Callithrix jacchus: one gene and its partner. The protein of the gene in region 1 interacts with the protein of each later gene in a biochemical or structural test. Links are inferred from orthologs where the notes say so. Each region holds a gene or a part of one and is shown on either strand. Other genes may lie near its edges. The genes, in order: PSRC1 and ASB7.

The links.
Region 2: of the proteins of PSRC1 (region 1) and ASB7, one has a biochemical effect on the other in vitro, tested with the Homo sapiens proteins (2 studies listed by BioGRID, with this or other methods). The link is inferred for Callithrix jacchus from reciprocal best matches to the Homo sapiens genes PSRC1 and ASB7.

Annotation. Positions count from the first base shown.
Region 1 is NC_133508.1:147,161,532-147,166,010, forward strand, and holds the start of PSRC1 (proline/serine-rich coiled-coil protein 1), read right to left. Parts: upstream 2,915-4,479; 5' UTR 2,504-2,914; coding exon 2,485-2,503; intron 2,394-2,484; coding exon 2,336-2,393; intron 1,873-2,335; coding exon 1,431-1,872; intron 1,061-1,430; coding exon 946-1,060; intron 856-945; coding exon 586-855; intron 299-585; coding exon 205-298; intron 1-204. UniProt on the Homo sapiens protein: Required for normal progression through mitosis. Required for normal congress of chromosomes at the metaphase plate, and for normal rate of chromosomal segregation during anaphase. Plays a role in the regulation of mitotic spindle dynamics.
Region 2 is NC_133507.1:9,369,265-9,373,566, forward strand, and holds the start of ASB7 (ankyrin repeat and SOCS box protein 7), read right to left. Parts: upstream 3,054-4,302; 5' UTR 2,612-3,053; intron 2,438-2,611; 5' UTR 2,339-2,437; intron 1-2,338. UniProt on the Homo sapiens protein: Probable substrate-recognition component of a SCF-like ECS (Elongin-Cullin-SOCS-box protein) E3 ubiquitin-protein ligase complex which mediates the ubiquitination and subsequent proteasomal degradation of target proteins.

The DNA of each region.
Region 1 (4,479 bases):
CTTCCTCGAGCCCATTTGTCACCCAGCAGAGTTCAAGCTCCTCAGGGTGGGAAGAAATGGGACCCCCCCCGCTTTCCCTGCCCCCAGCTTCCCTCCTCTCTCAATCTTTCCATGCAAAATTTAGGGCTAATGTGTATAACAGTTTAGGATCCCAGATGATGGCGGGGTAGGGAGACAGGACGGACAAGGGAGGACCAGACTGACCTGGTAAGTCCTGGGACTGCCACTTTCCTGGGGGGCTGCACATTGCTGCGAGTGGCACCCATGACAGGAAGATTTAGTCGCTGGGAAACAGGAACTTCATGGGAGTTAACAAAGGAAATAAGTTAGCAGCAAGTTTAATTGACCTCAAAAAGGAATACTGGATGAAGGGAGTGAGTGTGGGATTAGTGCTCTCCCCTCAACCATGATGTATTTGGAAACTAAGACTTAGACTCTGTCCAGCCCCATATCCTCTCTGTAACTCAGCCTCCCCATCTTCCAACTGAATTGCAATGAGGATGGCAAAAGTGGTCACTGTTGCCAGCTCTGGGAGAGTGAGGACATGCCGGGCAAGGGCAGGTATTCCTCCTTCTGATCTCTTACCCTTGTGTCCACTTTCCTTCACTCTGTGTCCTGCGGCGCTTGGTCTTGGAAGCCCTTTTCGAGTTGACAGAGAATCCGGAGGTAGGGCACCTCTGCCAGGTGGTACACTCCGGCTGGTGAGTGGCATTCGGCTGGCAGGTCTGGGGATGGCCGAGGGAATGGGCAGTTGACTGGAAGATTTAGCAGCTGCTCCCTGTGGCCGGGGCAGGCGTTGAGAGTTACTGGTAGAAGGCTGTGGGGCCAGGACGGGTCTGATGGGGGTAGGTGGACCTGGTGGAGAGGAGTAGAGAAATTTCAGAGTCAGTCCCACAAACTCCCCACTCCCACCCACCCGCAACTTGGCTGCTCAGGTCTCCTCACTAGCTGCTGCTCTCCCACTGGGCCCAGCTTTCCCTTGGCCTGGGGGCGTCGATCGGGTAAGAGGAGAAGATGCTGGGCTTTTGGATGCAGGGAACAGACTGCAAGTGGGTGACTCCTGAAACACAAAGAGAGAGGAAAAAAAGACTAGAGTGGAGAAAATATCTGTTCTGTGGCTTAAGGAATTAAGAACTAGAGGTGGAGCGTTGTTTAGATCCCAGTAAGGAAGGGTAGATGTTTGCTAACATCACCGTCACCATCACTATTGCCAATACCATTAATGGAGTTTATTATAGACATTACAGGGCTTATACTCAGAAACTATGATAAGAGTTTTTGTTCTCTTTGTTTATGGTTCTCATTTAATTCCAACAATTCTAGATGAAGAAATACTATCCCCATTTTACCAGTAAGGAAACCATTCTCTGCCTGCATCATGGCATGCGCTATGTCTGGGGCGCACCTCCAACTCGGTCCTCTCAACTCACCCTCTTCATGTTGGAGGGCCTCTTTCCAGGCGTTGCCCGAAGAACCCTGACTGACCCCTTCCTATCACTGCTCCGGAGTCGAGGCGTCAGGCTGCTTGGGGAGGGGGTGCTCCGAGCCAAAGAGTTCACAGTGGGCAGCAGGTCTCGGACAGGACTGTCCTTGAGCACAAAGGTCTCCCGCCGAGGACTGGGCTTCACTCGGCGAGGCCCCAGGCCCTCGCCCGTGCTCTCCCGCTCCTGCAGGGCACACCGCTCCAGCTGGGCGGCCAGCCGGTTGGCCTCATCGAGGATCTCCTCCAGCTTCTCTGGGCTGAGGGGGCCTAGGCTGAACCTCACATCCTGGGGAGCAGAAGCCACTGTATTTGGGTCACTTCGGTGCGAGAGGCCCCGTCGAAGTGGTTTCTCTGGAGTCACCAACACTGTTACGTCTTCCTCCTCACGGCTGGGACAGGAAACGAACCAGGCATCATGCCCATGCAAAAGACAGCAGAAGACTACGCAAGGTAGACTGGGCAAAAGCCCCACAACAGAGCCAGGGACACAACCCCATGCCCTGATGCCCGTGCTGCTTGTGAGATGTGGCCTCTGGGTGATGAGATACCTGGTTCTATGGGGCCTAATAGGCCTTTCGCATTTACTGACACCAGAAATGATGCCAGGATGGAGATGCAGCAAATCCACTTACCCTTCTTAACACCCTGAAATCTAACTCCAGCTTCTCGCTTCTCTCCCCACTACCAATAGTGTCATAGAGGCCCGAGTCAACCAGCCACCCAGCGGCCCCGAGTGCACGAAACCTTGCTAAATTGCCAACCCAAGTTCCAGAGGCCAGTAACTCAGCAGTAAAGGGACAGAGACAAAGAAGTGCTGTTAGAGGAAAGTAAGTGGCACAAAGAGGCTGGTACCTGTCGGATGGTGACAGCCCCCCAAAGTCCAAGGTCTCATCCACAATAAATTTTACATCTGAAGGGGAAAGAAGAATGAAGGCCAGTCATGGGTCCCTGATGCAGCTCTCCATTACTGGGTCTCACTCCTCCCTCCCTCCTTTCCTTACCTTCCTCCAAATCCTCCATGTTCAGCCAGCAGGAGCGAAAGTCCACTTAGACCTGAGCTGGAGAGAAACCATACCTTTCCTGAGGTATCCATCCTGCCCAGGGATTGCAGCTATATTCACGCCAGCGGCACAGGTCATGCTGGAGGCAAAGCAAGCACCCAGGAGTGGCACCTGCCGCGTAACTACCCCTGCTATCTCCGGGTAAAGTGCGGAGGGCTCCCCCCACCGCCCAGATTGCCCTGGAGCCGCCCCTCACCCTGTTCTCTCCTCACTGGGAGGTTCTGAACGCCCCATCTTCCTCCCCGCCACTATCCTCAGGGTTCTTCACCCCCCAAGCCACGTTTCCACTTCCCTGACACCACACGCAAAGCACACCTCCAGCACACCCTGTTTCCACTTCCCGCGCCGCCTTGTCTTCCACGCAAGAGTCTTCCCCCAGCAACCTAGTCCCGGGAATCTGCTCCGAGGGGGCGGGGCTCCTTTCGAATCTCTCAGGCCCCACCCACTCAAGCCATACACGCACCGTGATTGGTGGATCTTCAGGGGGCGGGGCTGTGGAGCTGCCGGCAGGAAGTCCGCGGGTGGGGGCCGGAGGAGAACCGTTCCCAGAAGACTCCAATCCCGGAGGCTGAGGCGGAGCCTAGGGTTGAGGCCCGGAGTGCGCGTGCTGGCGTACCTGGAGACCCTCTTTCCCGCTGGCAGGTGGGAGCCGGGCGCGGCTGGCCGGGAGGGGAATAACGGACCCACGAGTGTGGCCCTCGCGCCCCGCCCTCCTCTTGCTGCTGGGCCACGGAGCCTCCAGTCTCCAGAGCGATTGTGCTGCTTAAACCGACGCTCGGCGGGAGGAAATTAGTTTTCTTGGGCGCACTCAATATGCAGGCGCCGCGTTGGCCCGGGGTCGTCAGTTGTGGTTTTTTCCAAGTTAAGGAAGCACCTGAACACTTACATTGTAGACATATTGGGGTTCTCTAAGAAGTACATCCTCCATCGCCTCTTTAAGAACCTGACGCAGCCGAGGTGTAAAGAAAGCAACGGGCTTTTCACCCAGACAGGCTTGGGTTCAAATTCAACCCAAGTTTAACTGACCTCAAAACCCCAGTTTCGCTTTAGAGAGTCTGCCTTGAGTATATATCTGCCCTCTTTTCGTGAAAAGAGGATGGTGATCCTCGCAGTTAAGATGGATGTTAGGATAATCATGAAGATGTTTTCTACTGTGTGCCCTTAAGGAATTTAGAGGGGGCGTTTGTAAGTAGCCCCCTCTGAAATAAAAGCTGTGTTTGTAAAATGCTTAAGCCAGCTTGTTAGGAGTGTTGTCTCTGTTGTTGCTAAAAGGGGCCTGTGCCACCAGTGAACTTGTCAGAGACTTCGAACCAGAGCGACTCCATCTTGAATAGGGGCTGGGTAAAATAAGGCTGAGACCTACTGGGCTGCATTCCCAGGAGGTTAGGCATTCTCAGTCACAGGATAAGATAGGAGGTTGGCACAAGATACAGGTCACAAAGTCTCTGCTGATGAAACGGGTTGCAGTAAAGAAGCTGACTAAAACCCACCAAAACCAAGATGGCGATGGCGATGAGAGTGACCTCTAGTCATTCTCACTGCTGCACACCCACTGGCGCCATTACAGTTTACAAATGGCATCACAACGTCGATATTACCCTATAAAGTCTACAAAGAGAAGGCATGAATAAACCATCCCTTATTTAGCAGATAATCAAGAAACAACCATAAAAATGGGCAACCAGCAGCCCTCGGGGCTACTCTGCCTAGGGAGTAGATACTGTTTTCTTTCTTAATAAACTTGCTTTCACTTTATGGACTTGCCCTGAATTATTTCTTGTGCAAGGGCCAATAACCCTCTCTTGGGGTCTGGATCCTGACCCCTTTCTGGTAACAGTGAGATAGCAGGTCCACACAAGTTACAGATCACTAAGACCCCTCTAATAAAACAATATGCAGTAAAGAAGCCAGCCAAAATCTGCCAGAAACCAAGAT
Region 2 (4,302 bases), on another chromosome or scaffold:
CACAATCATTCTACTTAAGGAGGGCATTCAGTTGATTATGAAATGGAAGGCTGAAAGTCAGGTACTAGCTATGCTAATATAAACATTATCTGGCTTTAGACATTTTAGGGATAGTATGTATCTCTATGTCACCAAAGTTAAATGGGAACAAATTAAAGAGATACTGTATGTGTCACAGTATTAAATAATTGTAAATGACATCACTTTATGTATAAAGAATATAAGTACTGGCCTCGGTATACTAAAGATGCATCATTGAATATCTTCAATTAAAATCAATTATTCTCCCTACGTGATTATAAATCTGTATTTGGTGACCAAATAAATTGGATTTTCTTTTTAAACCACATAATTGGCAACAGAATCAACAAAAGCTAACTGCCAGATTAAAAAATGTAAGCTACCTAACTAGTCGTGTTGGTAAATACCCAAATTCAATATTGTAAATGTCTGGCATAATCTAGAACAAACACTCTCAATCATTCTAATATTAGAAACATTACAGATGCTGATGATTTATATATATTCTCTCATTTTAGAAAAACCATTAAAAGATGAGATGATCCACGAAATACCATTTAAGCAACGAGAATGAACTGGCTGAGAGCCAGGGTAAAGCCTCATCCTCTCTTACCTTATATGCTGGACTAGCCACAGACTCCCTCCCTTACCATCTCAGGTGAAACCACCCCTTAAAAATGAAACCATCCTAGAGTTAAATCTAAAGCAGAAAAAAATATTTAACTGAGAGGCTTGAATACAAAACACAGTACTTGATTTTTTATCTTTAAAACATACTTCAAATATTTTAGCATTTTTTAGAAGTTCTGAAGTAATCATTAGGCCATCTCCCTGGCAACTTCCATACTTACATAATAAAATTAGCCTTTAAAGGTTTCTGCCTAGCTTTTACTGAAATGATGTAGTCAAGTACTCCCGATTCCCTACATACACATACAAAGGCTGCCCTAAGTTTTCACCAGGGAACGGTAACTGGTACATATTGATTCTAAATCCTGTTCTGTAGAATCTCTTCTTTTGGCATCCAGTTCCCTGTCTCAAGAATACGTATACCTCAGATCCCCTTAAAAGCATCTTTAGCTATGTCTTGAGAATTAACAAAATCAGTAAAGATACTAATTTCTTTTTGTGGAGGGCAGAAAGTCCAGAGGAACATAGGAAAACAAAAATATTCATTTCTGCTATTTTAAGTACTTCCCTGTAACAAAAATTCCCTAAACAATCTGGGATATTAAAATAGATTAACACATCACTTTATACTTTTGCTACTGGATGTTAGAAAAGTCATTCATTTGGCTAATTTTGGAGTTAAACTTTGTATAATTTCCACGCTTATATTCCCTCTTTAGGAATTACACTAATGTCCTAAGCTTACCTTCAGTGCATTTTCAGAAGCAGCAACAAAATATGGCAGCAGAAATGTGATCACATGAATTAGATGCTTAAACTTCAACCTAGCAAACTCTATGTAAGGGTTTTGAAATGAGAAATCTTTTCTTATAGAATGCTAAAATTAAGAGCCAGATATGTAAACACACCAAAAGGTTCCTTTGTTTTTAAATCCGTGAGAGTCAGACGATCAATAAGATATTGTGTAAACTTTTTAAAGTTCTTCTAGAAAATCTGAGGTGTAACTTACAAGTTTCAAAGCCCAGCCACTTTGTGACACACAAAAACACAAAAAGCCAAAAGAGTTAATTACACTTAAATGCTTCAGGGTAATAAGGTTGCCTTTATACCATTCACACTCTTAAGGCACACAGGTTCGCTTTTTAGCAGGAAATAAAATCAATTTTCTGACACTCATAAATCTCAAGCCATTAATTTACCTTCCTCTACCAAATCATTGTCAACTCCCTAACTCAAAAGATTTTTCTGATGCAGGTAGAAGAAAGGTGATAGGAAAAAGTAAGGGGGGGAAACAGTAAATTATGGTTTAATTAAAAGGGAGAGTCATTCAGAATTAACAAGCAATTAACAAAGAATTGAGGAATTCCTATGAGAGTAAGGAAGGGGGGTAGCTATAAAAAGGTCTCAAAGTCTCAGAGCAAAGTAAATGGCACAGTGTACCAAAAGACAACGCAAAACACCGAAACACTGCACAGAGAGAAAGTGGGAAAATACGTTCCTGGGGCAGATTAGTTATAAAATGTTAAAGATCAGGCACGAGTAATGTTTTTGCTTTTCCTGGGAAACTGAGGGAGGGGTTGGGTTAGGAAAGGTTGCATTCCCAGGCAACCACCCTGAAAATAAAGCACTGCCTAATGAGGTAGGGGCCAGGAATAAACAATGGGGGAGGGGAAGGCTGGCTCATTACCTATATAGACGATGCTGATCAGAGGCAATGTCCCTTCTGCTTCCCTGGTAAGTGGGTAGACCCCTTCCTGCTTTCGCGTCTTCTTCAGCCAGCTCAAACCTAGAAAAACAGAAACCAGTAAGTGGTGCAGTGTCTCAGGGGTGAGGAGGGGGCTCTGAAGAAGGGGGAGCTCAGGAAAGCGACTGGAGAGTGGCAAGGGCAGGCAAGAAAAAGCAGATATTTTCTTCCCTCCCAGCCAGCTCTCTTCCCCTTGGGGGAGGTATCTGACTTTACCTGTCTCCTCAGCTGCTGCTTCTCTTCCTCCTTTTAGCCTCCTCCACACTCACCAACTTCTCCATTGAAGAAATACCCAAGGCAGGGCCGGACCCTGGTGTTCCAGATCCTCCTCGGTGCTTCACGGCCCCAGCCCGGCGAGCATCCAAACAGCCGAGCAGGCAGGAGGTGGCGGTCCCGGCCTCCGGGCAGCCTCGGGGCAGGGGTGTAGGGAGGCAGGGAGGAAGTCCCGGCTCCGGTGGGGGGGGCAGTCCCGGTCCAGGGCTCGGAACTAAGGGCTGCCGCGCTCCGGGCCGGAGGCTTCCAGCTACGGAAGGACCCAGGAGGTCTCGGGACAGCAAGGTCCTAGGTCATACGAGGTCCGAAGTGCCAGCCGTGGGGTCTCCGGACAGGGGGCTTTCGGGATGCACTTTGCACTGGGCCACCCCCGCCCCCTCCCTCCAGCACTTTGGGGTCACTGGGATGGGACCAAGCCTTCAGCAACCAATCAGCGGCCGCAGTGGATCCTGAGCCTGGAGCCGTAAACCAGGTCCGGGGTGGGTGGGGGTGGGGGGAGTGGGGGCGACTTAGTTGGTTGGTTGCTTCCCTCTCTCCTCCTTACCCCCAGCAGCCCCCACCTTCTGCCTGCCGTAAAGCTGCCCCTGCATTCGCGACAGTTAAGGGAGACGTGCCGACCGGGACTGAGGCTCGTCTCCGATTGGTCCATTCACTTACCCCCACGGCCTCCCTGTGGTGGCTTCCGAGGCTCCGCCCCTGACGAGGGACTCAAAACGGTTGCTAAGAGACACTGTACGCCGAACGCGGTCTCTGCGCATGCGGGAGGAGGGATCAGCGTGTACTTTCTGTGAACTACGGTGGCCCAGAGAGGGCTGGTGTGTTCTCTCGAATGGCGGTGTGAAGAGAGTTTGTCTGAGCCAGATCCCAGGCAGGTAACCCGGAGCAGCCGCTGAGCTCGGCGGCCGGGGAGGCGTGAGTGCAGCCAAATGAGGGCCTGGTCCAGGGCTTAAGGTTGGGAGGGCGGCAGGCTCAAAGAAGCGAAGAGAGGGGTGCCTCTTTCTCTGCTCCCGCTCAGCGCTTGTCAGACGCAAGTGCCCGGTCCTTGGCGCGTCTGTCTGTCCCTGAGACCCCGTTAGCTTCCAGGCTGGGAATCCCTCGCCTAGAGTGGGAGAAGGGACTCTCTTTGGGATGGCGACGCCGGTCCAAGGGCTTCCCTGAAGGGATAGCAACGTTGGCGGGTTCCTGAAAATGAATGGAGAGGGGGCGTGGGGAAAATGCGAGATAGACTGATCATGACACGTTTATTAAGCGCATTTATTCATCTCGCAAGTGTTTTCCTGGCCCGTGTTCTACTCCTTGAGGAGACAACAATGAACAAGATCGTGATTTCCGGGGAGACAAACACAAAATTATGAGATAGGGATGGGTTATATGAGGAAAATCAAGCAGAATGGTGGGATCGATTTTGACCAGGACGTGATGGGCTATAGCATATTAGATAGGTAGTGCTATGGTGTGAATATCTGTTCCCTCCGAACTCACGTGTAATCCCCAGTGTGGCAGTACTGAGGGGTAGAGTCTTTAAGAGGTGGTTGGATCATGAGGGTTCTGTCTTCATGAGGGGATTCATCTATTAATGGATTATCATGGAGGTAGAACTGGTGGCTTTATGAGGAGAGACCTGATAATGAGCC